Styela clava: one gene and its partner. The protein of the gene in region 1 purifies or fractionates together with the protein of each later gene. This does not show direct contact. Links are inferred from orthologs where the notes say so. Each region holds a gene or a part of one and is shown in the gene's direction. Other genes may lie near its edges.

Region 1 (16,123 bases):
TACTAGAACTAGATGCTACTTTAAATTTGATTAGTTTCTCGCCTACAATGCCGTTGAGAAAACAAAATCTTTCAGACTAGAAATAAAAATCTAGAATCTGAAATAACAATGGGGCAGTGTAAAAGTGCCTCAATGTGCTTGAAAACTGATTGAAAAATATAATATATTATAGTGGGATTCGCTCCAAATTCTTTGGAACCGTAAATACTTTACCGCTTCATCCTAAACGTTTTTGGTAATTCATATGGGTGTTTTCGTACTCTAATTTCATGAAATCGAGTGCCATAAAAAGTCCCTGATAGAAGTGCTGCATAGGTAAAGCACAAAACTACACTAACACCAACAGAAGCTTATAAGATTTCAGAAGTTTCTTAAAGATACAAACATTGAAAAAATATATATCTGTGACCCACTCACTTCTGTTCCTCGATAAAAATATAATTTTTGGCCCATTCATTGTAAAAGGTTCGCCATCCCTGGCCTAGTTCGACATTATTGATTTTGATGCTCAATCGCGGACAAAACCAATACGAAAACAACTTTAAGTTGGCTCAACCATTACTCACCACGAACAAAGCTTCCGTCCGAAGAATGTGAGACTCAGACTACTTATGTATATACTTGGGACCTCCTGAAGTATGCGCACTAAGATGGCGCACAACCTGAACTCAGGTTGTGTACCAGGTTGTGCGACATCTTGATGCGCATACTTCAGTAGTACTTATACTTGTAATGATGTCAGGGTGCCCGAATAAGGAACAATGGATTACTCACTGTTCTAAAAATTCTCAGAGTACATGTCATGTCCTCAGTTACGCCACTTAGCCGAAGCCTTATTCTGAAATACGTAAATATCTTGAACTGTATTTCGACAAGAAGTTAGATGCACTTAAACTGAACTAAAATAGTTTCATGCCTCATCAGAGTCACGTTCGCCACTTTAAAAAGTCAAGCATCTATTGTCAATATCTATATGCATATTTTTGGCTGTATTTGCACACCACGTTACAAACACCACATGATGGCTGAACAAAAAAGACCAACCCCTTATGGAAACGTTCTTCATTCCCGAACTCGAAACATTCAGGAGTTTTTGAAATTTTATAAATAAAATACTTGAATTTTTGGCTTTGTTTGTACGCAAATCTACCGTACAAATATTATATGTTAAATTTCATCTAGAATGTGAACATTAATAAAGTCAGATCAGAGCTGTACGGATTCACAATATGCATTCTATATATTCGCTCGAACCCCAAACAGTACTGAGCGGTTTTATCGTCATACTTCTGTGCCTCAAGTCTGTCTTTGAAGTTTTTAACGCTTTTTCATAATATTCCTCTTCGGTATCCTTGCACAGTTTGACACCGCTCAACTCATCTGTCGAATACTTGCTTTTATATGGTCTGGCAGATGTTGCTCGCCTTCCTTCACCTTGCGATGTACAACTTCCCTTTTTCTTTTGTATACGAAATGAGTAATAGTCTCCCGTTAGTCCATCTACTTTATCGTCTTCTGGAATTTGCCACTCCTGAATGGAAAAGTATTTTATATATATATTGCTTAATCGACTACATATATTTTCATAACAGTTCATAACATGTCCAATTCATAACAGGAGTGTAAAGATGAGTTAGAATCGACTTCACCAGATTACGCAATACATACGCTCGTCGAAATTAAAATTTTAATTAATCATTTCACGATATATAGGCTAAATCTGCTACAGTATTGATATGAGCTAGCGAAACTAGCCAAAATCAATGAACAGCATACAGAAATGGGGTAACACACTTCAGAACATGAAAGGTTCAAATATATATAGATATATAATACCAGCCGTTGAGCTACAAGAATCACAAAATTTATGTTTGGGCGGCTCATGTTGAATAATCTAAAATTTGAGAAATAATACGACAGAAGGCTTAAAGGAAAATATGGAAGCATTGATAAAAAAAAATATTGAAATTTATAGGAGACAAGTTAAACTCAACGACCCAAGTTTGTTGTTACAAGTGGTGTTGGAAGAAAAAACATATTCCTTTTTTCGTAGACATATATTACACTCCTTACATGAATTCCTCTCATAAACGTTTTCATCCGTCGCGGATAATTTCTTGATGCGATTGTGGCTCGATGTAGATCTAATAAATTTACATCTTCTGGGCTTGTATGAATCTTTTTGTGCAATTGCTGCAACGGACATTGATTGTGAGAGACTTCTTCGCCATACGCTCTCATATCGTCACTATTGAACGAACTAACGGATGCAGGTCTTGTAAGTGGTTTAGGAACAGCGTCATCGTTTGAGCAGTCTTCGACTATAGACTCTTGCGTTTCCATAATTTCATCTTCAATAATCTGCGGCTTGATTGTACATTTCTTAACCACCGAACTTACTTTTGTTTCCAAATCCGGAGCAGAGTATGGGCGTTTGCTTCGGTTGAGTTTTACTACCGGAGTAATGTTTGGTTGCGTGTCCGACCGTAGTCGCCAATGCCCGCTCTTTAGAATGTCGCAAGATGCCGTCGACGACGAAGAAGACAACAACCGCTCCCTACCGCCATTTTGAATCAGTGGCAAATGAGTTGATTGAGATTCGAATGGATTTGTATAGTCCGACTGTGTTTCATTTCCATAACTTGTCAGCCTCCCGTTGTTGAATCTTGGTAAAGATTTCGATCGAGTGTTAAAGCGTTGGCCGCCCCTGGATTTTCTTGGATTTCTCATTTTCTGTATTTGCACCTGCGCTTTTCGCATCTCGTCCAACTTACGGGATAAACTTTTATCGATCTCAAAACCTGCTGATCGCAGAAGATTTATACAAGCAGGAATCGTAACTTCTTCAGACATCGCAGTTGTGTTTCCTGTAGCATAAAACAAAGAGCTAAAGCTTCATATCCAATTACTCGAACTCAGTGCTACCGATTAGATTTCCGTGCGGCTAACTGCATATCGGTTTTCGATGATAACACTCTGGTGGATATGTATGCATCTAATGCAAATAAGTTGGGGGCAGAATGAAGGTGACTATTCTATAGGTATCACGTCAAGCGCACTAACGCAAATGTATGTATGTACCATTTTTCATTTTTCGAGTTTCAAGTTGATGGATTTTTATATTATATTAGTAATCAATATTCAGTAAATTATTTTTGCCAGTAATTTATACATATCATTGCCGATTTATAAATGAATTACAACTGATGATACAAAAATACGACACAGAAAGCATAACCAAATCACTAAATTCCGATATGTAGAATCAGAATGATTTAGAACGGTAAAAATAGCTTCGAATAGTAACATCCGCATTGACCTGCTTACATCAATAATGCAGCTTAGCAATGTTTAAATATATTTATTATACCCGCATCTTCATCGCTCCAGACTTCCATTAATGTCTTTGCGAAGTTACGATTCTTGCGATACTTTGTACTACATTCCGGCATTGAACTTTTAATTTTTTTGATGCTTGCGTCAGCTTGAGCTGAACGTTCAAGGTTGTCTCTCAGTCTTTTGGTAATCACCTTACTTTCAAGTCCAAAATTAAAATCAGCCTGTAGTCGAATGAAAAGTTGTTTAAAAAAAGAAATTGTATCAAGCTCTAAGTATGGATACTAAGCATGTTTTTTTTTAACTTGTTTTGCGATGGAAAAAAGTTACTTAAAATATCAACTATACTTATTAATGGTTCAATAGCAACGCCATTTTACTCAATACTCGAGTCGGTGACCATAAAATGAAATAATGTTCTTAGAATATCCAAGGGATTATTCGACTTTACGTAATTTCACGAATATGTATTTTCAACGCATTTGATGAAAATATTTGGGTAATAGATATATTTAGTATATTGCATTTTTATAATTCCCTGTCCTCACAGTCTGCTAATTTTTCAATAAGCTTTGAAAAAATTACTCGTAACCATATCTACATATTGGAAACTTCATTAATATTCATTGTCGGTGTTTTATGTTGCGAATAAGATAAATATCTTTAACTAACATAATTTGTTAAAACGCCGACATCGTTGACGTCACTCCTGTCAGTGACGTGTTCTGTCCTTTGTTTTCAATAACGTTTTATACAAATAAATTCAGAGCGACAGTATTCAAATAGCTTCAACACATACCTGTCGATGCATTGTTTTCATGTGATCCAACTTTTTTCGTAAAGCTTTTTCTTCCAGTCGATTGCATTGTTGAAAGTTTAATCCATTTTCTGCAAAGGAAGATGTTTTGAAAAGAGACATTGCCTTGAATTCTTCGTCTCAATGTCCCCAAATACCCAACGATGATAAGAATATGACCGGAGAACAAGCACTGCTAATATACTGTGAAATTATAACATATACTGATATATTAGTATTTTCCTGCCTACGTTACGTCGTACCGTTACACATTGTTACATACATTCATTTATTACATATTTATATTCAGTATGACGTTTGTCTATATACATTTAATTAAAAACTCCCTTAATCTCGGTTACTGAGTATTACACATATATTTACTCAATCAGTTACATTTACAACACTGAAATTAAAAAATTCCTAAACGTCGAAGACCAAGCATGTAACGCACGTGTACATGTGGCCTTAACAACACAATAACTTTGGATAGCGTTACTCCGTCTCGATCAAAATGAAGGCGCCATCAAATAGTATCCTGGCGCTATATATCAAGTCGTAAAATGCTGACAATATGACGTAAAGTTTCAAGCGCGTTACTCCATGGAAATGAATTTAAGCCCTATTAATTAAACAAACGAATAAAAGCTATAAAATTGTGAATATATAATTAACGCGAAAATACACAGCACGTTCGTTCGCATTGGAAGGAATGTACAAGAATCTAAAAAAAAAACACGAGAAAATAGAAGGCTTGAGCTGTAAAATCTTGTTTCAAATCTTCCCACGATTTCAAATCAATGGTTTTTACCAGCATAAAGCAAATTGCCAAAAACTTTGAAACTAATATAGGGTCGCCGTTCAATGAATTGAACGAGCTTAATAACACATCGCACTTATTTAAGTATTGTAAAACCTCTCGAAGTACTCGTACATATAAGTATCTGTACAAGTTATATTGCCTAAAATAATAGTCTAGTCCGACATTATTGATTTTGATGCTCAAACGCGGAGAAAATCAATACGAAAACAACTTTATGTTGGCTCAACCATTAACCACCACGAACAAAGCTTCCGTCCAAAGAAAAGCGGGACCCAGACTACTTATGTACATACTTGTAATGATGTCAAGGTGCCCAAATACAGAACAATGGATTACTCACTGTTCTAAAATTTTTGAGAGTTCATGTCGTGTCCTCAGTTACGCCACTTAGCTGAAGCTTTTAACCTGAATTACGAAAATGTCCTAAACTGTATTTCGACAAGAAGTTAGGTGCACTTGAACTGAACTAAAATAGTTTCATGCCTCATCAGAGTCACGTTCGCCATTTAAAAAAATCAAGCATCTATAGTCAATATTTCTTCAATTTCTAACAGCTTTCAGTTAATTAAAATCGAAGTGGTTTATCTAGAGATTTCTATAACAAAACTCTCTAATAGGTTATTCATTTTATTCAGCAACCTGCAACTACAAGTACCTATTCACTTTTATATTTACAATTTTTCTTGTTTTTATTCAAAATTTCATCCAAATTTCCCATGGATACTTAGGTCTTTTTCGAGATTAAACTCCCTGCCTCATTCTTGTTATGAGTATAACATTACATCACGGTATTGATAGTCCACTTCAAACGGGCGTTTTCGCGACATGAAGATAAAATTAAAGTCCGGCCTCAAACACGCTATATTAAAAATATTTTAATATCATAACTCTGTATAATAATGTTTGAATAGCTGCCAGAGGACGAGAGCACTCGATATTGTAAACTCTCTTTACGGGGGCACGATTCCCATTTCCCAAAATAGCAGCAATATGTCTCGTTAGAGGATTGTGGAACATGTCTTTGTTTGTTTAAAACCTTCATTTATTATGACGGTGAACTTGAAAAAACAAACGAGACAATGTAAATTCAAGAACGCGCGGTGACGAATCAATATTATGGTTACAATTCCAAAGATCTAGTCTTTTTTGGAGGAGTGAAAGGTGACGTGATGGATGACCTCGTACTCAGACAAAATGTCGCTTCTGAACCAGTAGCCACATTATACTCGTATATGGACGGACCAGAACTGAACAATACCGAACACGTATGCCCCAAACCAGGCATATAAAGCAAATGAAAAGCGGTATCTTCTTAAATTTTAAATCCCTAACTACGGGCCAGATTGTTTTTACTATTGTATCGAATTCAATTGAAATTCTCAGAATAAATACCCTCTTGTCCGCGCGCGAAACATCCATAATAGCAAATCATTTCTGAAGAGGAGAGCGAAACCCATGTTTGCAGAAGAAATTGTTAAAGTTTATGGAAGTTCCGTCAAACCAGCATTATTGATGTATCCGCGACTTGATATTTATTTACTTACATAAGTCCAATCCCCAATGTATAAATACTCGTTACTAGTTTTTGAGGTACAAATGCCGTATTATACAAAGCCCATGCTTGATTGTTATACGCCTTGTAATCGTAATCTTCATATCTGCGTTGTGCGAAGAGTACAATTCGCATTCAGATGGAGACACGAAGTTTAATATAAAAGCCTCACATGTGGTCACAAATTTATTACTTGTTAATCCCACAAACTAGCTCAGTACGTATGCCACTGCGCCTCTATACAAATCGGTAATTGGAAGCAAAGACCGAAATTTACTAACAAACAAGGGTACCAGCAACTTTAAACAATTTAGGAGCAACGCGGATGCGCTGGGTGCTCAGTTTAATCCGTTTACGAGACAACAAGTTTCTTTTCTTATCGCTAGAGCAAACAAACTAATGTACTCAATATATACCAAAGGTTAATCGTTTTCAATCGAAATCAAATATTTTTATCTGTAAGTGTAACCGAAGAAAAATATCATCGCATAATATCAAATAGATATACATCTGGTGACAACCACGAATACCACCTGTGCGCTAAAATATTGAAACATAAAAATGCCAGAACTTAATCGAACTCCACGGATGCGTGATTTAAAAAAAAAACTTGTACATCGTTTATACGTGTTTATTTTAATGATCCGTAAAATGATGTTATACTCAATCGATAATATTTTTATCATATCTACATATTTTTATGATAAATATATACATTACCTAATTTTGTACTTGGATTTATATTTTATAAACGGTCATTCTAGACTGAGATGGGATTCCTCCAAATTATAGATATTCGACACCAATATATTCACTCTTTGACGAGGAGCTATGATGTGGAAGTAAATAGTCGCTTAGGGCCTTAGACGCAAAGATACACTAATATTGGGAATGATGGGATCTATTCGACCAATATATACCACCACGTATAGTACCCCTTGGATGGCAACCTTACACATTAGCGAGGTGCTTATATTCATTTGTATACTATAGTCCGCAAAAGTTTAATGTTGATGCTTTTACTAATACAAAGCTCAAAAATGATTATAAACTAAACAACTTCAAAACTCGCATAAATTTTAACTTTTTGTCTAAACTACCACCACCCTCGTCATCAGGTCAATTGTATAATAATAAGATTGCTGCAATCTTCATAGAACATGAGTAAACAAACTAATGTACTCAATGACAAGCCATAATCGTTGTCTTCGGAACTCAAACATTTTTATCTATGACCGCGCCACACTATCCCCGCAGCGTTAGCAAACAACAACACGTTTATTCAGAAGTTGAACTGTAACCGCCGTTCTGGGACTGGGTTAAACGTCACTGATTGCAAACAACTTTTAATCTACTTCATTACTTTCATCAAATAATTCATACATTTATTCATGGACTAAGGTCAAAACTTTTTATGCTGAGTATAGTATAACTCGACGACATGCACGCGCATGCCCCATAGTTGCGACTGGGATTGCAGTGCAGATCAGATATCTTTCAGTTTGCAGTACAATTTTATAATTGACGGAATATGAAGAAGTTTGCTATAAAGACTACAATCAGCAAATCAACTGATGGTAGATAAAATCACATCAGTGGGGTTAACGACTGAGTTGCCGTACTTGACAAACCAGTTGCTTGCTACTTTTCAATGAACATTAAGGAATGATTTTGTACAAAAATGAAATGTTTAAACTTTAAAGCTACGAAATAAATAGAATGAGTGTCAACAAAATTATGAAAAATGATACAAAATATGCTTGGAATAATTAGTGGGATTTAGAGTTTTAGACACCTGAATACGCCAATAACTCATCAAACTGTAAAGATTATACTCACACGTATCTATTATTTGGATTATAAGTTTATGCTTCCATGTTTAGAAATTCTGAATCCCACCGGCTCCAGTATGTGCTATTTCTACGAATATTACGTCATCCTGTGGTATTACGTCAGAGCAGTCCGCCGTCATTTTTACAAAGCCCAATATACGTCAGAATATGACTTTTTAGGTTTAAATTGAGAAAATGAATGACATTTCTTTAATTGTTCTATCGGATAGTATTAAAAATACTTTGTAACGTAATTTTGCTTCGTAACCTGTAGTGAGTTTTTCAAGAACTGTTGCATACCATTTTTTGTCAAAACTAAACACTGAATTCTACACCATCTATGTACAGTAGGGGACGACTTCTAGTTTATTGTATCCAATAAGTTCATCGTTTTCTGACTTAAACTATATATGAATACTATAATTATTGACTTTTTACAGCTTGCCCTAATTATATACTGATGTTTTCAAGTTCAACTCTGATATTCATGATAAGTGCTTATATGCAGTTTAAATCTGGTCCCTAATTATTTTCATTATGAGTGTTTTATAAAAAGTGGCCACAAATGTTATGAATTGTTCGTGCGCACCTAACCTTGGTGTTATATGGACTGGAAACGCAACCAGTCATGATTCATATATATGTTTGTTAGTTACTTTCTTACATTTACTCGTGCCATTTGAATAGCTAACAGTCAGTCGGTTGGCCTTGTTGATCTCGAAATTTTGTCCACTGATTATATTTCATGTTCATTATTTTAAATACAATAACGATATAAATAAAATGCTAACAGTAGAGGTTGCGCGAGACTAACTACCGATCCTTTCTCAATGCCTTTGCGCTAGTGGATAAGTATGCGTATAATGCAAGGATGCTGTAACAGAAATAAAAATACCATACTATGCAATTCAAGAGTCCTGCTGCAAACTAACACAAACGTATTTCATGTAACGTTTCATTTGACCAAAATCAGACTTTCTCAGCAGGGTTCTTGAATTGCATAGAGTTAATAAAATGCATTCGCAAATAAATCATCATCTCTAGTTCTGCCACAAAATCCATGATTCAGCATTCTGTATTGTCTTACTTTTATAAAACTAACAATGATGTTTTGAAGAAATCGCCTCACCTCTGGCCAATAATAGTTTGTGCTTGTACTCGAACATAAGTAAAAAAACTAAATAAAAAAAATTTAATTTATTCCACTTTTTTAAATCGCGAGATTTAATTGCAGTGAAACTCGCAATCGGGACCAGAAAATGGAACTGAATATGGAAAAGTTTGAACGAAAAATTTGAGAACTCAAAATCGATCATCACATTTTTGGGTGGACGTTGTGGTCAATGTTATGATAATGATCACTCGGTTTTTGTTTGATTTGAAACACCGGGATATGCAGACATTTAATTTTTTTATGCTCATCTTACGCACAGTGGCTATTTCATCCAATATGTATCGTTTTTGCGAACAAACCAAAATAAAAATTATCTTGCCCGCCCCTCTTTTCGAGTATATTTTATGATTGTTTTTTCCATCCACTGTAATCTGTACATTTTTGATAAACAGTATTCGAAAATAAACAAATTATCTACCGGATCTGTCTATCATTAATATATATCACAAGGTGTCGGAAGAGAGCATAATTTGGGACACGTCATCTCAGGGGTTTCCCCTGGTCATCCGATGTTTTGGTTTTTGTTCAAAGTAGCGCGATTATTCGTGTTCGATAATGACGCGGCCGGTTTTTGAGTCATTCCGTCACTGCAAGTATTTATTCTTTGCTTTTCCATTTATCTGCCTCCTAAGTCTGTACCTTAATTGTGTTGCACTCCATAATTGCAGGATATGTGTAATGTTTATTTTGTTATTTTTAGTTATCTTAATTAAATCCGACCATTTACTACCTATAAAAAGTGTCATTGTACTACTGTACTATGCTACATCTAATGCAACTAAAATGGGCAGCATTGTTGGCATCACTTGGTGCTCTAACCTCTTTGCTGAAGGCGCAAGTCCATACCCAAACATTCAAACCAGGAAAAGAGACCAACTTGGACGATCTTGTCAAAGTCTTTCCGACACCACACTCAAACGTTAACGAACCAAAAGGAAATAGGTGAATATTCAATATTTCCAAACTACGATAGCGTAGACAGTTAAATCGGTATGTCTGTAGTCATTCTTTCTTTTTTCTTATGTCCTTGGTCTGTCTGTCTGTTGGTAATTCAGTAATTGCTGAAAAGAGTTATTCAGAAATAAGAGAAAGCTTGTAACCCTTCAAAACAAAAAACAACTTTTGTTGCTTCATTGTTGAAAGTCGAGTACATCACAGTTCTCTGATTCCCAGAAACCCTCACATTGAAACACATCAATTGTAACAATGCATGCAAACCCCTCCTTCACGAGATCAATCTAAGCGCAATCTAAAAACGTAGTCATTGGATTCCTCTGAAAAATATAATCAAATTTACTGCAGGAAAAAAAATTGCTATATATAGCATTCTAGAGTTTTAGCAAGAAAATGTCTAGCGGAGACACTGGTCATGTGACGACCGATGCATGTCACGATTAATTTTTATTATTATCGTGACAAATATTGCATGATCTTACACATCTGCCGTCGTGTCAGCCATCTTTGTTAGGGTCTAACTAAACTACTGTATTTTCACTATGTCTAGTTCTAGTATCTACCAAGACTTCACTTAATGAGGATGTTAGCTTCTGGTATAGTAAAGAAGTAATAGAGCCCAAATGTCACAACATTATAAAACACTCTTTCATTATACTACATCCTGCATAATATGTAACACATAATACATAGAATTCCCTAATTGTTAGTATATCTCTTCCAACATTTCTTTAATTATTCTTAGCCCATTTATTGTGGTGAGTACATTGGATGGAAAAATATCAGCGTTGGACACAAAACATGGTGGAAAGTTGTTGTGGACAATGGATATTGGGAGCGGCCCACTCGTTTCATCGAGCATTTCCAAACTGCAAATCAACCAGGTTGTTAAACTTAGTAATTATTGAATTTTTTTACACCAGGTTTTTTTTACACTACTTTGATTCATATATTAATATAAATAAATAGAGAGATTCTTTTTGATCAGTTAGTTAAACAATTTATCACTATTATACTGCTTGGACCAGTGTTTTCTACCATGTCATCCAATCTGAACTGTAATCAACTGATAATCTTTTGCTTAATGGTACCAACAATTCTCTCAAATATAAAAAGGTCTTTTGGGTAAATCTGTTATAAATATTTCGTTCATCCATGTATATTATTATAATGAATTTATTTTGTGATTACTTAGAGAGACAAGATTAACAAATATTCCACCTTCTAATAAACAGACATGATTGAGCCTTTGGCACTACACTAGTCTTGTGCAACGGATTGGCAATAGAGAGCTTCTAATAATGTTATCATAATAGTACAGTTTCATGAATAAAAGAATTGCGAATTAAAAATATTCACCTGTAAATTTGATAAAAAAAACACAACATAGTGCTTTTTTTCTTTGACTCTGATTTAGTAACCAAATTTATTTTTCTATTTATTTATTGCAGGATGGGAAGACAATCAGACTCATACCTTCATTATCTGGTGGCTTGTTCAAGTTTGATGGAAATTCTGTTGAGGTATGTTTGTTTAAATTTAATAAAATATATATTTTTTATGCTTGAAAAAGTTGTAAATGGTAATATAGTTTTTTCAGAATAGATGTACATTACCTTCCAGGAAATAGTTATTCCCATACGGCCATACATAAATATATCTCATTTGAAATTGGCCTAACAAGTTCGGTAACTATTTGTCAGTTTACTATTTATTTTTTTAGGCTTTGCCATTTTCAGCTGAGCAATTACTATCATCTTCATTCAAAGTTTCTGATGACTCTATACTGGTTGGTGGAAAAGAAGTAACAACATTTGGACTAGACTCTAGTAATGGAAAGTATGTTTGTGTTATAATTATAAGCTGCGAGCCTACGATGGATAATCATGTGGGAAAGAGTTGCTGGTTTACACGTTAATGTGGGGTGGTTCATGATATCACAAAATTGTTATGGCATCCTTCACCAGAAAGTCCTTGAATCTGGGAAGAATATCTGGTTCACTATTTCCATATCTGTCATGGACTGATAACTAGACAAACAGCTCCAGCTCGTTATACGATTAATCTTTTTGACTTTTTTCTTTTCTGAGCTAAATAGAAAAATTCCATTCTCTCATCCTAAAAATAGGCACATTGAGGGTCTCAATCTGTTTTCTGTCTCTTCTAGTATTGTATATCTATGTTCTGCGTATGGATGTGAAACATTTCATGAGGTATCACCAACAACCGATGTAATTATTGTCAAAAGAAGTCAACAAACAGTTCGTTCTGTGGAAAATAGGCATGGACGTGAAAAGTAAGAATAACATTTACAGTCAGTTTTTGTTAATTTGATTTCCAAGATTTTAAATGGTATATAATGACATCAATTCATTGAATATATATTTATAGAAAATGTAGAGAAGTGAAGGATCAAATTGTAAGGGAGAGGGTGATCATATATAGGAGAATTGATAGGTCACTTGCTTTTGTGTGGTTTTCATTTTCCATGAGACATCTTTATGGGTGTGGCATTCTCCACCAACCATGTCCAAGTATTTGAAAGGAGAAATGGTCATCCATATTTCAGACAAACTGCTAACTGAGTGACTAAAATGATGATATTTCACAAGCCTCTTCTGTTATCCATATGACAATTCACTAGCAATAAATCTTTTATTCAATTATTTGGACATTATATTCTGTGTTTATCTAACTTTTCTTTTACAGTTGGAACTTTACCGTTGGCGAAGTCGAATTGGAGGTTTCGAGAGGAAAAACTTATCAGCTATTAGAACATTCTGGGGATGAGGGCAGTTCGACTGAACAGGTAGGCTATGTAGCATCTTGATTTTATACGAAAATTCTTTTCATTTCACAGATTTTTTTATTGTACAATAATTCTCAAATGTTAATAGTCCTATTAATAAAGCATACATAGAAGTAATTTATGTCCTAACATTTCAGGGGTCTACCACAATGCATCATCACCACCAGGATAACTCTCACTCCGAAGGGAATCCAGATGCTTCAAGTAAGTTTTATTAGGGCACAATTTCATGACCTGCTATAGTATTGTAGTCGCTATTACTGATTATGTCTTTGTTTTGTGTGTTTATTATATTTATATTTGGTATTTCAAAATTCTGCTCTACCATTCATTTCATTTTCAAATATACTGAATTTATCCGTTATGTAAAAAAAATAAAGATGTATTACAATATGGAATGATATAAAGACTTTTTAAAACTTAATACGACTTTGCTGTGATAAGCCAGTAAAAACATGTGTATTCCTTACATGAGGCATCTTTTATTTGAAAATTTTTCAACATACAATTTTGTTACTGTCTCAACATGTGATTCTGTTTTTTCTGTTGCTAAATTGCTATTGTTATTACTGTCTGTAGATGAAATTAGAAGGTACGGTATCAGTATAAACTCAGGCATAATATCAATGCTACATACCGTACATACACAATGCTTTTTGAGCTAATCTTAAACAATTGCTGGTGTGGCTGTCTTTCATTTATATTATTATTCACATTCTAGCGGACCCAAGATCATCGAGTATATTCTCAAAACTGAATGTATTAGTTCCAGAAGGCACTATCTACAAGTTCAATGATGAAAATAAACCTAGTTTGGATTGGAAGCACAAGGTATGCTGCCACTTGTGATAGATTAAAATGTGGAATAAAAATAGATTTCAATAGTCAATTTTTTATGTTTAGTATACTAAAACATGTATTTAAAATGTCATATATATTGAATTTTGCAATGGTGAATCAAAAAGAGTAGATTACTGAATTCAAGTTTCATTATGGATTATTTAAAATCAAACAAAATGGGAATTGAGCCTCATAGAATAGGATTAGGATTTCATGTTTATCCTGAGATAGATGAATCTGATAAGACAACTTAATTATATGGCCAATCGTGGCCTCTTATTTGGTTACCGGCCCATGTCCAGTATTGTAATAGTTATCAGTTATTCGTTCCAGATACATTAACTTACCGGTAATAGTGAAGGAAGCCCCAATGGTCATGAAATCTATCCTATGACGGCAGTCTTCTTGCACATAATTATTCCTTACATGATTCGATCGAACCTGCGCAGGGTAAACAGTTGTGATGACATAGGTATTCCTAGCGCCTAGCATAAAGTGACGTTCATTGAATGCATAAAGTGATATTAACTGAATTTACCATAATTTCTAAACAAGAAACTTTTTTTAGTTTGACAGTCCAATTGCAAATGCTTGGTATGTCAATGGAGGAAACTATCAAAAACTTGATTTATTCGATCCAGAGACAGTTCCTGCATTGAGGGATAGAAATAATGGCCGAAGTAATGGAGACCCCACTATTTATATGGGTGAGAGTCCTTATCTTGACTTTCATTTTAGGAACCCATCATTTATTGATTGTATAGTTCAGCATATTTTTATATCTTGCCTGGCTCTCTGATATAATTGCTTGACGATGATTGGTGACTGGCCTTTACCAATTAAATGGGGCCTGTAATGTAACTGAGGATTCGTTATCTTTGAGTATTCAAATCAGATCTTTCTTCATTTAAATCATTATTTATTTTGCAAACGTCGGCCCCATACTTTAATTTTGAATATTTGGAAGTTTCCTCTTATCAAATAATTGTTAGATAAAGTTTTAGCTCATATTTGTATTTAACATCTATATACGAAAACAACTGTGGCGCCAGAATGAACAATGTGAATAATGATGTATTGGTTTGCAATTAATCACTAGCCAGGGATCTACTAGTTGCAGGTGTTATTAAACTATTTCTACTTACTCAGTTTTCCAAGAATCGTTTTCTCTTTTTAATCTTATAAAGTTAGAGGCACTGAAATTTATCTAGGTGAAATCGGGAACATATTTTCTGGAAGGATCGTACCGCAATAATTTTTTCACTTCAGTATATGGATCTTCTGTAAAAATAATTGAGTAGTGGTTAGCACCTATGTAGATCAATTCCATGCCACATATCACAGAAAAATTATTTTACTTTATTAACTTTACTTCTAATGTTCAGGTTTTTATGGAAGCCACGTCTACATTCAAGTGTCATCAACTACCAGGAAAGCAATAACAAACAGTATGATGCCTTCACCTCGTTCACATGTTAGACCAAGATCTAGATCTCCTTTGTACGTGGAACTATTAATCAAACCATTACTGTATTTATGAGAACTGTATTGTTTCGGATAATGTTTTTTTAGTACAAAGTGACATTTCCTAAAGAAAAATGCTGCCAGGATCAGTGTTATACACAAACTGTTCTTGTACCGTATAAATCACAATTCCTCATCCAATATATATGAGGGAACTAAAAAAATCAGTTAATTTTTTTTGGTAAATATGTGGGTTATAAACTTATAATGAGACATGTGAATAGAATTTTTCACAACATCTTTATACACAATTTGTTTTTATTAACAATGCTCTATCCAAGTAGCTACTCTTAGATAAAAAGAAAATACTATAGTTGAAATGACTGAAAAATCTTTCCTGTTCGGCATTGCCTACCCAATTTAAAACACTATGGGTGAGGTGATGGGCATGAGATTTTACCCTTCGAAGTTGCGATACCATCTAGTTAACGCTTTTAGTCTAGAACTCAAATCACTTATTCACTTATTGATTAATCTGAATAC
Region 2 (16,387 bases), on another chromosome or scaffold:
TTTCATTTTATTAAGTGAACAATCTAGGGATTTCCCGTTTTTTTTTTATATACATTGATTTAGTAATTCACGTATTTTGGGATCATGTTATGTAAAATTTGATTTTCAACTAATATTCGAAATCACTATAGTTAGTCGTTATGCTTTCTTTATTGCAAAAATACTTTGGTGGGATTTAACTGAAGATCGCAGTTGGATACCAGGCTTCCTTCAATCAATTTTTTACGTAGGTTTTATGCCTGGGACTATCGTTTTTGGACAATTATCCGATCGCTATGGAAGAAAGAAAATTTCGGTTATAGGTGAGAAAATTTATTTGCGACTTCTGCGATTTTAAAGTAATTAAAAAGAGCATTTGAAATATATTTTCAGGATACATATTAGTTCTGATATTTCAAGTTATCAGTGGATTTTGTCAAAATTGGCAACAATTTGCAGTATGTAGAGCTATATCAGGCTTCCTTGTTGGCGGTTTAAGTGTTGTGACAACTATACTTATACAAGAAACTACGGGATCGAAGCTTTGGGTCCTGAACGGTGAGTACAAATGACTCCAATTCCGTTTACTGGTACAACAGGAATTGCTTATATGACTTTCATATGATTTTAATCCAAAATGAATAAATAATAATTGCGAAAACCAATAAGCTCGACAACAGCTATAGGACTGAATGAATCTATTTTCAGGTGCTCTCGGTGCAATAGGATTCACCGCAAATATGTTAGCGTTTCTATGGGTTGCCTATCTTTATCCTAGTTGGAGACAAATGTATTTTATTACAACGATACCTGGAATTCTTGGATTTGTTTTTTTATAGTAAGTGAAAAAATACGTTAGTGAATATATTTGAAGATATAAATTGCATTTTCTCAATATTGATAAAATATGGCAAAGTCCGAGGGAAAGCGAATGGATCTCAAGCTTTCATATCGAGGATGTTTAATTTTTTGTATTATTTAACGATGGTGAATTGGATATAGCATTGTGAAATATTTATATATCCCGTGCTAGTTCTGTCGAAATGCCAATATTTTCAATACTGCTAGTCCATACATTAGTAAAGTTTAAGTGCATATTACATGAAATTGATGCAGAAATTTAGCTTAACACCTTTCAGCATTGTCCCAGAGTCGCCGCGTTGGCTGTTGTCTCGCGGTAAACCAGACAGCGCAGAAGAAGTGATGCAAAAACTATCAAGGTGGAATGGATCGCCTCACACAGGTATTTTATATTATATATATATATATATGTGATTATGAACAAATATTTTGGATGCCCGCAAATTTGAATATCACTCAAAGATATTTGCTTACGAAAAACAAAAAGTAAATCACATGTGTAATTGCTGATACGTAAATTCTCCTATAATATGATTCTAATATTTCAATAACGCTTGATAATTATTATTAATATATTAAGAATATGCTCTTCTGCCGGGGAACGCGAAAGAACGCCAAGATGAGGGACATCAAAATGAAAGTACGTATCTATCAAACGCGGATTAAATAATTCTAGATATACGTTTTTTTTAAAACATTCTCACAAATGAAATTCACAAACACAGAATCTTCTAACCAGCTTCAGAAGATTTTAGAACAGCTATCTTGCCAATGTCGACATCAATAGAGATGAAAACGTCAATGAAGGCACGGGATGAAATTATTTTAAACTCGTTTTAAATACCGTTCCTGGATGAAGTCAGATCTAGATGAACACTTGAATGAATGTCAAGATATTATATTTTTAACTTCCCAAAAGAAACATTTACATCATAGGACAGAATTGCTGAACAGTTGCAAATGTAGGGATTAAACAGAATCCCCAGGATTGACTGACCAGAGTGTCGTTGACCTACTCTGACTCGTAATCTTAAGCCCACGCTTTACCTCTCAACACCCACGCGAATGAATAGACGTTAAAACCTCTATTTGATTTCATTCGTAGTTTTTCACGATATACAGAATACAATTTTAAAACTCCTTAAAACTAGAATCGGCTCACATTGAAAATCTATTGAACGGTATATATGTACGTTGATCAAATAACGAATTAACATTGAAAACGTGACCTCGTGATTCACGCCATGAACAGAAACTCTTATTAATTAACTCTATACGGGTAATTATGTACGTCGTGCGGATGGGATGTGTTTAAAATTTCTGAGAAAATGATATGACACAACGAAGTTGTTCTTGGAAGCTAAAGTTGTGTAACTTGTTCCTACGAAACTTAAAAGTTCCTACTAAACTTTAAAGGTTATATTTCACTAGATCGTCTAATGCTACAACAAAATTATGAATATGCACAACAAGAGCAAGATGCCTCAAGAGACGAGGAAGGCTCAATTATAAATTTGATAAGAAAACCTGTATTGCGATACAGAGCAGCCATTTTAAGTTTACAATGGTATGTATAATTTTGCATAGCTAAAATTGACATAATAACATCCGTAATGTGTATCTATACGATCAATCTAAATGAGAGTTATACCGAAATGAAATAGATTGACCAAATATTGTTCGAGTATTTATATAAAAAAATAGCCATGTGTGAAATCCGTCTTCATTGTATATCCGGTTAGGTTTGTCTATCTTGACTCAAATCACGTTGTATTTTCAGGTTCACCGCAAGTTTTGTATTTTACGGCATAACACTTGGTTCTGGATCTTTTAGTTCAAATTTTTATGTTGCATATTTAATATCGGGATTGAGTCAGCTTCCATCAATACCCTTTACGATTTATCTTATGGAGAGAAGATGGTAAGCCAATACCATAACAGGAAAAAATCTCGAACTCACCATTTGTTTTGAACTTTCCTAAAAATCACGTAGTCAAAATCTGGGACTGACAGGCTGATAACTTGAATGAGTCCACCAAAAAAAAACATCTATTCGTTCTACTGGTAAAAATTAACCTACAAAATAACCGCAAAATAAAGCGAGAATCGTTGAAAGTGAATGAACGAACAGATCATATGACCTTGAAAATGAGTAAAGGCATCGTGGTGAAATTATAAACCGGCCGCGGGATTATATTTATATACTGATATATTTGACTCCATAAAAAATGGCCACATCCATAGAAAATAAGCAGCAAATGCTATATTATTAGTATATAACGCAAGAAATTGAAGAGGTGTTGCTAAGTATACTCAGTTGATTGTATTTGTTCAATTCTTATCCCCATATATATATATAGTTTTAATCGATTTACTCAATACAGGGCTGGTAGAAGACGAACGCTGGTCTGCTTCATGGGTTTAGATGCACTGTGTATGTTCGTCATGTACATCGTTTCCTTCGGCCAAGGTAATTTCAAATATTTACCTGAGAATAGCAACCTTACAAATTTGAAAATATGTTTTTTAATGTAATTACTTGGATGCCTACTGAACAGAACAGTTTTCGTTAAGTCGAAATGATGCTTGCGGACCCACAATAAAGTGCTGTTTACGAAATTCTATAACATAAACAGAATTTCAGGCCAAATAGTCTGTCATGAAAATATACATTTAAAGATTCGAACGAAAGTAAAGTACATAATACATAAAGCGGGGCCTGGTTGGAGCAATTTAATTAACTGCTCTTCCATGGTAAATCCAGTTTTAATTGATCAAATGTATTTTAATTATATAGTGTAAATTTTGTCTCAAATGACTATAATACATACGTATTATAAATTGCTGTAACTGGAAGATAATCTGTTTAACTGGAATTAGCTATAGCCGATTGAATGAATTTTTTTATTTCTCGTTAGACATCGTAAAAATTTTTTGATCTTTCATAGAGCTTCAGCCTTCATAAACCATCCCGTTTCAGTCGACAACAAACCCGACCAAATTATTTTGGTAAAAACAATAATATTACTTTACTAAAATGTAAATCTGGAAATAAATGTAGATAAACAGAAAGATTAAATTACCGTTTTTCATTCAGATCGCTCAAACTACAAATTGACACTTTTGGTTTTCGGAAAACTGGGAATTTGCGGAGCTTTTGATCTTATTTAGATATATACTGCAGAACTCTTTCCAACAGTTGTGAGAAACGTTGGACTGGGCTCAATGTCGTTCTGGGCAAGAGTTGGTGGTGTAATTGCTCCATTTTTAGCAAATCTTGCGGTAAGTTTTTTATGAGAAGTACTATTGTGCAGCATCTGAAAGGTAACGGAACAAATATATCGTTGTCGTTATTATTGGACACGTTTAGTGGACATAACGATCGTTTTGTTGTTATGTTGTTCTTGTTCTTGTTGTTATTTGACACTTTTTGGACACCTAGTGGAAATATTAAAAAACCGCTTTTCTCTTTGATCACTGGACCAATTGCTTTGAAATTTTTAGTGGTTAAAGATGGAATTTTTCTCCAGAAGGCTATTACTTTTATTTATTTCAAATATTTCTGTTAGCTCTGTGAGATTTGTTTTTGTTTGCTATGACGTCACCGAATGTTCTGCGGGCATTGGAAGCCATTTTGTGTCCTACTGTACTGCTTCGCTTGGTGTGAATATATTTGTAGACTGTGATATGACGGAACGGAAACCGTACTGTACTGCGAACAGACGTGTCCATATATTTGGGCGTAGCTCTCTTGTTATCGTTTTGTGATTTCTTTTTCATTTGAAGGTGTTTTCTGGACCGAATGACCCATTTCTTGCCTTTGGTATTGTGGGATTATTGAGCAGTGTTTTTGCTGCTTTCCTCCCTGAAACCCGAGCCAAGTTAATTCCGAACACCTTTGAAGAAGCGGAACTACAAGAAGAAGACAACGACGAAAATAGTTGTAATTCGATAACATGCTAACATTGACTATGTCCTCTACACTAATTGAATATAGTTATTGTGTATCCTCTTGAATAAATTATTGTTTATCGTGTCTTTTCTTATTTTTGTTTTTCGGAATTGAAAAAAACGGCACGATGAACTTTGACTTGACTTTTCATGACGCAAATTAGCCGTTAGAGACAAAAATCAAGTTTTATTCTTCAAACTGCTAACAAGTGCCAACGGCCAACCAAAACAAACGAATATTTAAGGAAATGGGTCAATAACCAAGAGCAGTTGCCCAGCCTTCCCACACAAGCAGACCTGTATCATCAAATAAAACGTACAGGCGGACTACGATAGCAATTTTAATAATAACACGAAAGAAACAGAAGAATACGAAAATTAGATCAAACTGCATTTCAAAGGTCATGTCATGGCTGATTTCGCTATTGCTATGATTTTAAGCAGTACGAGCGCGGCCCCTCAATTTTTCAACTCAAATATAATAATATGGCGCGGCGTTGTGGATCATCATACGCTCGCCACCGCATCTCTGATTACTCTGCGGGATTCGCAGGTTCGAATCCCATGCGGGGATAATTGTGTGCAAGAAGATTGCTGGACTCATCGCGACTTCCTCTACCATCAAATCCATGCTACCGAAAACAAATACCGTAACTAACTAATCCCATACCCGACATGGAATGGTAACCGGACGAGAGGCCGTGGTTCGCCATATGGTTAAGCCGTCTTGTCGACTTTCCTCTCCCCAGGGATAAATATGTAAATCCTATAACAGACCTTCGGAGATCAGATTGGCGAACATTTTATTCCTCATAGACAAGCGGTCGGCAACCTGCGGTTCCTGAGCCGCATGTGGTGTGTTGTTCTTTGGCTCCCGTGAATCAAAGTGGCGGCTACAGCAGATTTTTCTTAGAAGCAGTGGGGATTAGGGTTAGTTCGGATACCTATAATTTTCACTATCCGGATAACGGATATATCCGGGTATTCCGTATTTCAAATATACGGTTAACCGGATAGTTACTGCTGATTTTAGAGAACCGATTTCGCAGGATTTTCGCGGTGAATTGAACGAATACCACCACACAGTTCTGTTGTAAATACTCAATTATACAATTTAAGCTCAGTAGTCGTACCGATGTACAGCGGAATAATAAAATGAAACATTTTTTGAAAATATTGTGTCCTAATTTTTTTTTCCCCAACTGCTAAGTTATTTTCCCTATTCAAATAATATGTAAAGATTTATATTATTTCTACTTTATTGTAAAGTTTTTTAAAAGTTTCTTTTTGTGTCTAGAGCCTCTTTTCTTTAAATTTTGACTCGTACTAAATTTTAGTGTCGCAGACTCACAATGATCATTTCTGATCATCCGCACCTTCCTATCAATTGCAATGAAATTTAATATTGTCATGTATAGTATTTTGTTTTCTATAATATTTGGTGATTTCTTGCACGCCATATTAAACTTTGTTAATATATACCACAAGAGCATACATATAAATGAAATCATGAACACAAAAAATCGTGCATTTCGAACATTTTATTTCGGTGAGAGAAGTATCCAAAAAATAGAATATAGGGGGAACAAATTCCGTGAAGTGTATAGGAAAATATAAGTCATTTGAACAAAAATTTTAATAACAAAGCAAATTGATGATTATGAAAAAACCGAAGTGGTCAGAAATTTCTTCTAATTTGAAAACTTCACTTATTTAACATGTCGCTGTAAATATTCTCACGTTTGTACTAATTAGGCAACAACTTTAAATCTATTTCCATTCGAATACCTTTTAAACTAAATTAACAGAGCCAAAACAATGCTGCGCCAGTTTTTGAACAACTTTACTTACCACCCTAAATGAGTAAACGAAAAACATGACACGATACAGAGTCTGTCACATTAATCTTTTCCGAAATATTATAGACCATTTTGCAAACAAATTTGTTTGTGAAAGTTCCATGAAAACCATAAATGTAATAACAGCCTTTCCTCCTCATTTTGAAATTTTCGAAAACGTCACTAATAAAGGCGGTCGAATTTTACAGGCTAATTGTGTTATCATCGCCGATCGTTTTCTTCCGCATCGCGTTATTGTTTGGGGAATTAACATCGGCATTATGCCAGTTTTAATTTGAAAAGAAGTTACATCCCGTGAAAAGTTACCCTTGTTGTAAATTCAGTAAATACGATTATTACGAAATTTTGGCCATTCAACAGCGCCTAAAATAGAGTCTTGTTTTATCTATCACTGGCTCATAAATCAAGAGTCGTGGTATTTTCGTTAGCATTCAATTCCTTATTGTCAGTCAAAAATGTGTGTTTCAGATCTACTCTCTTAAGTCTTAACGATAGATAGATACGACGATAGATAACATACTGCGGCCATTTCAGTTCCGGGCGAAACAAAACAATTATCGGCGTTATATACCGACGAAACTGAACCCGACTTTTCTCCCGAAAATGTTGATATATAACTATAAGCTAATTAATATCTGCATTCATTGTACTAAATAAATTATACTCATTGGAATTGCAATAATAGCTCAAATTTGATGAATTTTCAAGATAGCAAAAATAGGAAATTGGATTTGTTCGTGCAGCTTACCATTTATTTTCATATCTAGAGTAGAAATGCTTTTATTTTAAGGTAAGTCGGGCTCTTCTATACCGCAAATACGCAATAATCACATTTTTCTGCGTGTTTTGTGATGTAATACTATAGTCAAGTTCACTCCAGCATTACACGGATGACTAAAATATGCAGAGTGATGTGGATATAAGTGAATATTATATGCTCTGAGAGATGTCATTGGCCACTAAACAAAAAATATAAAAATCACTAATGCGCATATGCATTATTTATACTGCTCTATTATCCGGTTAACCGTTACAATAATATCCGGTTATCACATAACAAAATACCTCTTGGTTAATCGGTTATCCGGTTAACCGCTATCCGGATAATCCAACCCTAGTTCTCAGCTTGTTCTTTGTAATGTTCCAAACATTGATGGGAATTTTTCACATTTCCAGATATGGTAACCCTAGTGTAAATGTCCATGGGTGCAAATATGCAGATGTCCGTGGGTGCAAATGTATACGGGTGCAAATTTCCTGTGTGCAGTTTACGGGTGCAAAATGCAAATGTGCTGTCACTCTCTCGCACATAATTATCCCCGCATACAGGCATAGGATTCCAACCACACCTCAATGATTCCAACCTGCGAACACAGACGCAAGGTAATCACAGGTTCGCGGCAAGCGATGCGCCACATCACGGAGTCTTCACAGGGAAACCAGTCCAGGCTTAATTTCGTTTGAACTTATCTTCATGCTTTCCGTGCAATGATTCGCTTGAAAATCTTCCATTTTTTGCACCCCAGTTGTACATTTCTAGTCTCGTAGTCAAAATAAATTTTTGTTATCTTGTTTAAAAGTTTCAACAACAATTGTTTCTTGATACCGGCAATTCTGATTCTCGAACACACTCAATTGGCTCGAAGAGCCACGTCCGCATCGAAGGCGGTCGGAATCGGAACCAAAGCGACTACCGTACCGGTACCGTACTGTTTTTTTTTTGTAACGTGGCCACAACGAACCGCTGTATGTATTTATTTGCTTGTCCACATACAGACATATCGTGTTAGGAATTTATATTTATCAACGTATTTTCACATGACCATAAATAAATAATATTTCTACGAAAATTACGGTACAATTTTGTGAGTAAAAGATATCCTGATATCAGGAGTTTGCAAAAATACTGCAATAATCGTCTGCAGATCTGTGAATGAACCTGATGTATGCATGCGGACCGTGCCCACCGCAACCGTCATATTTATGATATTCAATATCATGAAATTAGTCTTGTAACTAGTATTATATATGTTTGTAAGTCTAAATCCTATCCTATCCTAAGTTCAGAAATTATGCAGGAACAAACCCTCAGTTCGTGGAATGTTGTGGCAGCCATAGCCCTTGTCTTTGTTTCTGCCTTTTTAATATGGTTTAAGCAGAGCAGGACTGAAGATAAGAAAGATAATTCAGGTATGAATTTATCAAAGGCTGTAAAGGCCTTTTGGTTGGGCCTACTCAGATTTAAGCCTATTTGAACGTCTGAATGTGTTTCGAGATTCATTCTGTCTTTTATGTTCATATTTATCCCTGAGGCAGAAAAGCCTATTCCTGATGTCTGCCGAAGCACTTCAGTTATACGATCCTGTTGGGGTAAGACAGTAAGAGCCTTGACCATCCAGGGCTGGTCAACCAACCACTTGTGTTATTATTATACATGTATTGTTTTACCAGAAAAAGAATGGGTTCATTGCCCAGAAATGCCCCTTAAACTGTTAAATAAGAAATACTATATAAACAATTCTGGAGATATTTTATACATAACCCCCTTGGCTTGCTTAAAACAAAGACTGAAAGACAAAATTGAAGAATCTGTTCACTATTTTACTAAGTTTCTGTAAATTATTGCATTGTGTATAATTTTATTCTATTTTAAAAAGGGGACTCTGTGCATATTTCTACCTTAGATAAGAGGATGAATAGCTTGATATTTATGTGCTTTTGGTGTTGCTTGTGGCATATTACTGTACTACTTTGTTATGAATGTATTATCTAGTCCTTGACATATTGCATATTCCTGGTTTAGAAGATGATTCGAGACAAGATGTGGGAACAAATAAGTCATCAAAACGTTCTCAGAAATCTTCAACTTCTAAGCAGTTGAAAAAAGCGTTTAACTTTACTCATGATCTTCTTCACACAAGTCTGAAGGTGACTGTTATGTTTTGACTAGTTCTGAAAGGTGACTGTTCAGATTTATTTAGTCTCAAATTTTAGTAGCATAAATATAATGTCCAAATAATAAAAAAAATATCAAATTAAAGAATATAAATAATGAATCACTTAATTTTTAAAAATGAAAGTAATACAAAAAAATATTCTTTTGGGAAATACTATAGGGTCATGCTGGAAATGTACTTGGAGTTCACTTCAGTATCAATGGAAAATATTTTGCTACTGCTGCTGCTGATAGAACTGTTAGGCTATGGAGTGTCAAAGATTTCGGTTTGGGCAACAAATGTGTTCATGTCAATGTTGAACTTGATCATGCCAAGTGTATCCAATTTAGCCCGGATTCCAGGTGGGACAAGTATTATAGCGCTTCATAGTTGAGGATATAGTATCGACGGTCTGGTAGCATTGATGTTCGGCACAGGTTTTTCGGTTTCTTGATAGTCAAAGTGCTCAAAAGTGTACTGACATTTTTACTTTCAGTAATATGGGTAACCAATGTTGTAAACTGTAATGTAATAGATCCGAATTCTCTGTCAAGCTCTGTGCATTGAAAAAAACTTGTAGGAATAAGTTCATCAAAGCTTGTGTAAATTTTGTAACAATATTTGTAAAATAATTCGTTTTATATGTGTTATTCTTGGACATTTTTCTATGGCCTGAGAAGTGTGTTCAGCCCTATTCAAAGCTGTCACTTGGACTGAATATTGCAAGGCTAACGTTTTGTGTGCTGGATGTGTTTGCTTGCATTTTGAATATTTTCAAATTAAGTTGAACGTACTATAATTTCAGGGCATTTGTTGTTGGCTTGGCCAGAGGCAACAATGTCAGAATATTCAGACTTGGTAAGAAGGACGACAGGACAACAATGTGCAATCCTTTGGAAAATGATTTCAAGGATGATTTCAAGTAATCTTAAAGTTCACAAAATTTTCATTTTGTCTTCCGTTGATTGTTTATCAATGTGTAAATGGCACTATAGATGAAAAAGATATATTAAATTACTCGGCGCTCCAGAAGGGTGTGTACCAATATGGAGGTAACTAGTTTTGTTCGCCTACTTTACATTAAGTTGTATAAAGGGACTTAAACCTATGGGCAGGGGGTTCATTCACTTGGCTAACACAGACAGTCCCCGAACTCATAATAGAACTAAAATAAGGAAATTACTACGGAAGTAGCCCACCAATCACTCACTATGCTACTGAATGCAAACAGTATGGAAAAGTCAACTAATACAGAAAGATGATGTAAATTGCAGAATTTGAGGGGATTTGGTGCCGTGTCAGCATTTGGCACTCAGAAATATTATTGTTTTAAAGAAATCATTTATTCTTCAGACAGGAATTGCTCAATATTGGTGTTGGTGCCACATCCAGTGGTGGAAGTTTTGTTATGACTGCATACAAAGACACAACAATCATTGTTCGTGATATTAAAGGAGAAGTTTTAAACACAATCAACACCAACTTGGGAACCAATAATTATGCATGTGTGTCTCCATGTGGCAGGTATATTTTGATTCTCCATATTATATAGAAAACCAAAATAGTATTTAATGCATTTTTAAACATTTACAATTTGATTACCATTTACCACCTAAATTAATGGAAAACCCAAGTAAGGCTATGAATAAATAATCAACACCGCCTCCTAACTTGATGCTATGTGTACTGTCCTCTCTAATTGTTACCAGATAATATTTTTTATTGTATAAATTAACTACTAGGTATGTTGGTGCTTGTGGATGGACTCCAGATGTCAAAGTGTGGGAGGTCAGGTTTACTAAGACTGGGACATATAAGGATGTTGTTCGGGCATTCGAGTTGAAGGGACACAAATCATCAGTATGGTCCTTTGCTTTCAACAATGATTCAACAAGGTATATCGTTATTATTATATGACTTATCGATGTAAATATAAGTTCACATTAGAGCTGCTAAGGCACTTGTCATTCTAGAAAAATTCTTTTATTTTCGTAGACTTCAAGTTGAATCTGCAATCCATATCTAATTAGGACTGGTAGAGACCCATAGTGCTGATTTATACGAATACAAAATACATTTTTAAAATAAAAGCTCATGGATTTACCCTTTTTTCTCATATTTTTAGGATGATCACTGTTTCCAAAAAAGGAATGTGGAGGTTCTATGACACTGATATAGAATATGAAAAAGGACAAGAGCCATGTTTGTTAAAGGAAGGCTTGTTCAATGTTGGCGACATTTCACCAGCCGATAATTTCTGTTTTACTTCTCTCTCATATGATGGTAATGTTGCTGCAATTGCATCATTAAATAGTTTTTGCGTTTTGTCAACTAGAACAGGTGAGTTATACATGTTTTCAAATTTTCCAAGTATGAATCTCTGGTATATATTTAATCAGTTTAATATTTTAGCAAGTCTGCCTTGATGTAGTCAAAATTTTTTATCCAATATAATTTGGCACTCATTTCATCATGTGAAATGGAAGCCTTATCATTTTAGTATGGGTTTCGCACTGTAGTCATTCCTTATCTGTGAAGTATCTAATCTCAACATCTTGAGTATACCATGTCAATATGTGCGTTATTTTAAACTAGGTGATATTGATCAGCAGTTTAAGGAAGTTCATTCTGAGTTGATAACCGCACTGGCATTCGATATTGGAGGAAAGTTTGTTATTTCTGCTGGGGACAGGTACATAATTTTCTTCCTATACATGTTCAATACTAACCAGCTGAGAGATGTAAAAAAGTAGTGAAAAAACTGGGGGTTTTATTTTTACAGCATGTTTTACAATTACTCCTTATGTCACTGGAGCTGAGCAGTCACCTGGAAAGGCTGTTACTGCTTTTCAGAAGGACTAGGAATAGATTAACCAATTCAGTGAGATGGTGGGCATGTAGATGGACTAAAAATATTTCAATTTTTCACCCAGGATGGCAACATAGGTCCAATGCTTTACCCATCACATTGCATTTTTGTTTTCCACACATAAAATGTACATTCTGTTTTTATTTATTTGTGCCAGACATGTCCGGGTATTCCATAACATCCTCGGATATAAAGAAAGTATTGAAGTGCTGAGAGAAACTCTTCGAAAACACCCGCCAAGTTCTGCAACTCGAGAGAGATTGGAGACTCAAATCAAACTTAAGCAATCTGAACTAGATAAAATTTTATTGACGACACAAGAAAAATCTGATTCTTAATGATGTGCAAGTGGATGAAGGGCGCAACCCAGGCATATAATTTTTGTTCTGATTGTTATATGAGGAAGATCATAAAATTTGATTCAGTTTTTGGTGTTGCTAGAAAGATGTATTGTCAGATTTTATGTAACTAGGTAGTTGTATTACATTAGTTCATTTCTCTTTGATTTAATACCGAAACACCACAAGCAAGGTCAATATTGACTATACTCCTGACTTTGGGTTAGTTTTATTATCAATGTGAACATTAAGCTGAACTTCTTTTGACACCGATGTGCGTCTGCCCTGAATTTATAGCTCTTAAACATTTTATTGGGCATTAGTCTGATATGGAAACTTAAAAGTTGAATACTCTGTAACTCCAATAGTATGATCAATCAATTCCTAATTACCTTATTCCTCATTAGGTTGTTTTGGTGCATTATGAACAATTGCTAGTTGCTTTCTAGAGTTAGTCTATGTGATGTTGTATTTATGTCAATCCAGTTGAAACAAAATACCTTATTAACTTTGCAAATGTTGAAGATGAAAAAGTGCAATGAAGCAACACGTGTTATTTTCAAGTATTGGTACCGGTACCGGTACCGTCTTTAAATCATTAACTTTTGCCTTTAGCTCAAAAGGTTATTGGGTAGCTTTTTGGTCATTGCTAGATGTCACTAGAGTGTTACAACTGGTCGCTAGTAATGTTACAACTGAACGGTAGAAGAGTTATCTTTGCACAATTTCTTGACCGAAGGGTAGAGGCGGTGCAGTTTAGTAACTACGGTTCCATTACATTTGAACCCACGTACATTTGAACCCATGACAATTGCACCTGTATGCTATTGCACCTATGGAATTTTTTTTGTTTCACGGATAGTTAAACCCATACTAACCCTAACCCATGGGTTTTAGCACCCGCATATAGATTGAACCCGTGGATATACGCATGGGTTCAAATGTACATGGGTTCAAATGTACGGTCACCAGTAACTACGACTTGGTAGGTAGAGCTTAGCCTTAGACAGTAAGTGTATGGTCTTCGCAGCTAGTTCAAACGAAATCTACCGTAGTTTGTTTGCTCCGGTCTCATCGCACACCAAACATTTACCGCGACTACGCCACTCGTTAAAAAAGCTGACCGTCCGTCGGATAATGTTTTTCTGTGGTTCAGAATACGATGCGATTCTATATAAATTTAATTGGGTCAATAGTTCCAACGATTTTTGCCAATATAAGATCACTGCTACTGTAAAGTATGCCAAGGCAATCTGCTAACTTGAAAATGCGTTGTAAACTGACCGATTATATTAAGTTTTGATTCGTATTCAAGAGCTGCCATAGAATAAAAAATTGATTGAATACATTTACATTAGTTATTGGGAAGGTAAACTCTGTGACTGTGGTCCAGCTTCCAACTTGGCATGATACATGGCATTGGCGCACAAAATTTCGCCGATTTAGAGTTTCTAACATAGCGTGTTTCATCTTTCCAGGGCTCCCTTAAAATGTATGGTGTTTTTTTGTTTTACCTTCAGCTTTTACTAGCACTGTTTTCACCCTGGAGTTAGAGTAGCGCAGTTTCTCCTTTAACTTTTCAGATAATCGCGTCGGTATGGAAATCCGCGTGTGAAGTAAGGGAAGTGAACAAGCGATGACTTAGTATTTTTAGCATGGTATGCAAGATATCCGTATCGGCAAACGTAGGGTATATATATATGGATCCCACTTCATTGTCCAAACTTGTATATAACTTAGCTTATCTTCTTCTCAATTTTGTCATGTAAATTGTAAGGCAACATTTCAACATAGTGCGCCAACCCATCTTTTCTACAAACCGTTAGTGTACAACCAAAATCAATCTTTGCGCACTTGTTTCGTATGCCATACTATTTCGACCATTTGTCGAATGTACATCTTCATACATCAGCAGCCTTTACTTACTTGTGATCGCATGATTTTATTTGGATTCACAAACTGCGCAACTAAATTTCCTTTTTGGATCGTTCTGTGTACAATCGTTGGCCCAATGGTAAATCGAGCGCCAGACATCACAACAACCCACTGAACCATCTTTTGTAAATGAATTCATTTTTCAGGAGACAATGTTTTCATGTAGCGAAATATTTCTTTTTCGGTACTTGGAGTATTTCATTTTCACTTAAACATGAAACTTGTCCAAAAAATTCTTTCATGATAGGATTACCTACCGCAGTTTCTGGTTGCTGTCCAAACTAATCTTTTATTATGTCGACTCATTTAGCACCGTCGAAAAGTTTATATGCCGAGATATAATCTGTCAAAGGCATCTCAATTTTTTTTCGACTTTGTATACAACCTCTTAAATCACGAAAAATAATCTCGGTCATTCTCGCTACGTTCTCTTTTGTTTGAAATGTATGGCACGCATCATATGCATGATCAACTTTGTATTCTCAAAAATGTCGCCCAATTTCTCCAGCAGAGTCGACTTCTTGTTATTTTTTTGTTTTCTGTTGTGCATCAATCTCCATATCACTTTCGTCTTTCCAACCAATCATATAAAAAAATAGCGATTGCCGTTTATGATTCGGGAGATGCCTTACCGGTGTCCACAAGGACACTTCATTTTTCCAATGTAAGGATTGCTATGTTTGAAACTAGGAGCATTTTTGTGTCTTTTTTCATAACTTGTTTTCCTCTTCTACAATTCGCCACAAAAAGTTAGAATTAGGTATTGATTTTGATCGTATGTGCTCATCCGTGGACGAAAAGGTTGAAAGAATTGACAACGAGAACGAAATGTTATTAGTTGCGAGAATTTGTGGCACCAACTGCATAGTCTACACTCTACATTACTGGCATCGGAGAGTTTTAACCATTTACGTAACTTATGATATCATAATTATCACAAACGTTGAAAATATAACTCGTGATCTCTAGGAATGAATGGACATTTTACGTGATCGACTTGTACCAATCTACGATACTAGCAGTTTACGTAAAAAACAGTGAACGAACATCCAATTTTGAATGCGTATACGGCTGCTCGGAAACATAACCACTTGTTTTCCTGTTTATTCTTGTCTTGACCCATGTTGCTATCCAACCGAGAAGGAGGAGTATCTTTAGGAGGAATATCTGCGGTAAAGTTCGACAACCGGTCCAAGATTTTTCTCATTCGTCACTGTAAATAAACTCATGTGGCTAGTTCAAATGGATTATTGTTTATGCCTTAGCATCCGCACAATACTTTGCTGAATAATCGCACAATTTTATTTGATAATTTTTCATCAAATAAAAAGAATCGTTTGATCAAGTTTTGCATAGGGCGACGATAATTATGCTGGGCAACACAATTTTTGTTCCTGGCTTCTATCTATTGTTATTTTCTAATTGGTTACACCTAGAAACTGAATAAAGATGAAATTATTTTTTTTGTTTAAATGCGTTTAATTTCCCTAAAACCGTGGGAAAATGTGACATAAAATAGCTTATTATAAAATTTCCATGACCAGATAGTCTGGTCTGGTGCTAATTCTTCAATGTTTTCAAAATTCTAGAGATGTATATATTCCTTAAAATAAAGACACATGTTGCATATTTTTGGCAACAAAAAAGTCCTAAAATTAA

What was found.
Region 2: the proteins of eukaryotic translation initiation factor 2-alpha kinase 3-like (region 1) and transducin beta-like protein 2 purify together in Homo sapiens (affinity purification with western blotting; 3 studies listed by BioGRID). This does not show direct contact. The link is inferred for Styela clava from reciprocal best matches to the Homo sapiens genes EIF2AK3 and TBL2.

Annotation. Positions count from the first base shown.
Region 1 is NC_135258.1:16,026,053-16,042,175, forward strand, and holds the start of eukaryotic translation initiation factor 2-alpha kinase 3-like, read left to right. Parts: upstream 1-10,183; 5' UTR 10,184-10,273; coding exon 10,274-10,455; intron 10,456-11,212; coding exon 11,213-11,351; intron 11,352-11,918; coding exon 11,919-11,990; intron 11,991-12,190; coding exon 12,191-12,306; intron 12,307-12,634; coding exon 12,635-12,763; intron 12,764-13,176; coding exon 13,177-13,276; intron 13,277-13,413; coding exon 13,414-13,480; intron 13,481-13,997; coding exon 13,998-14,107; intron 14,108-14,684; coding exon 14,685-14,823; intron 14,824-15,501; coding exon 15,502-15,616; intron 15,617-16,123. Other genes in the region: uncharacterized protein LOC120338767, read right to left, coding at 1,223-1,531, 2,074-2,867, 3,371-3,560, 4,136-4,255. UniProt on the Homo sapiens protein: Metabolic-stress sensing protein kinase that phosphorylates the alpha subunit of eukaryotic translation initiation factor 2 (EIF2S1/eIF-2-alpha) in response to various stress, such as unfolded protein response (UPR).
Region 2 is NC_135252.1:3,516,336-3,532,722, forward strand, and holds transducin beta-like protein 2, read left to right. Parts: upstream 1-8,670; 5' UTR 8,671-8,722; coding exon 8,723-8,840; intron 8,841-9,453; coding exon 9,454-9,578; intron 9,579-9,766; coding exon 9,767-9,948; intron 9,949-10,391; coding exon 10,392-10,508; intron 10,509-10,939; coding exon 10,940-11,110; intron 11,111-11,328; coding exon 11,329-11,481; intron 11,482-11,711; coding exon 11,712-11,926; intron 11,927-12,181; coding exon 12,182-12,278; intron 12,279-12,612; coding exon 12,613-12,793; 3' UTR 12,794-13,349; downstream 13,350-16,387. Other genes in the region: solute carrier family 22 member 15-like, read left to right, coding at 236-302, 373-537, 688-817, 1,119-1,222, 1,421-1,480, 2,272-2,407, 2,621-2,761, 3,225-3,310 and 1 more.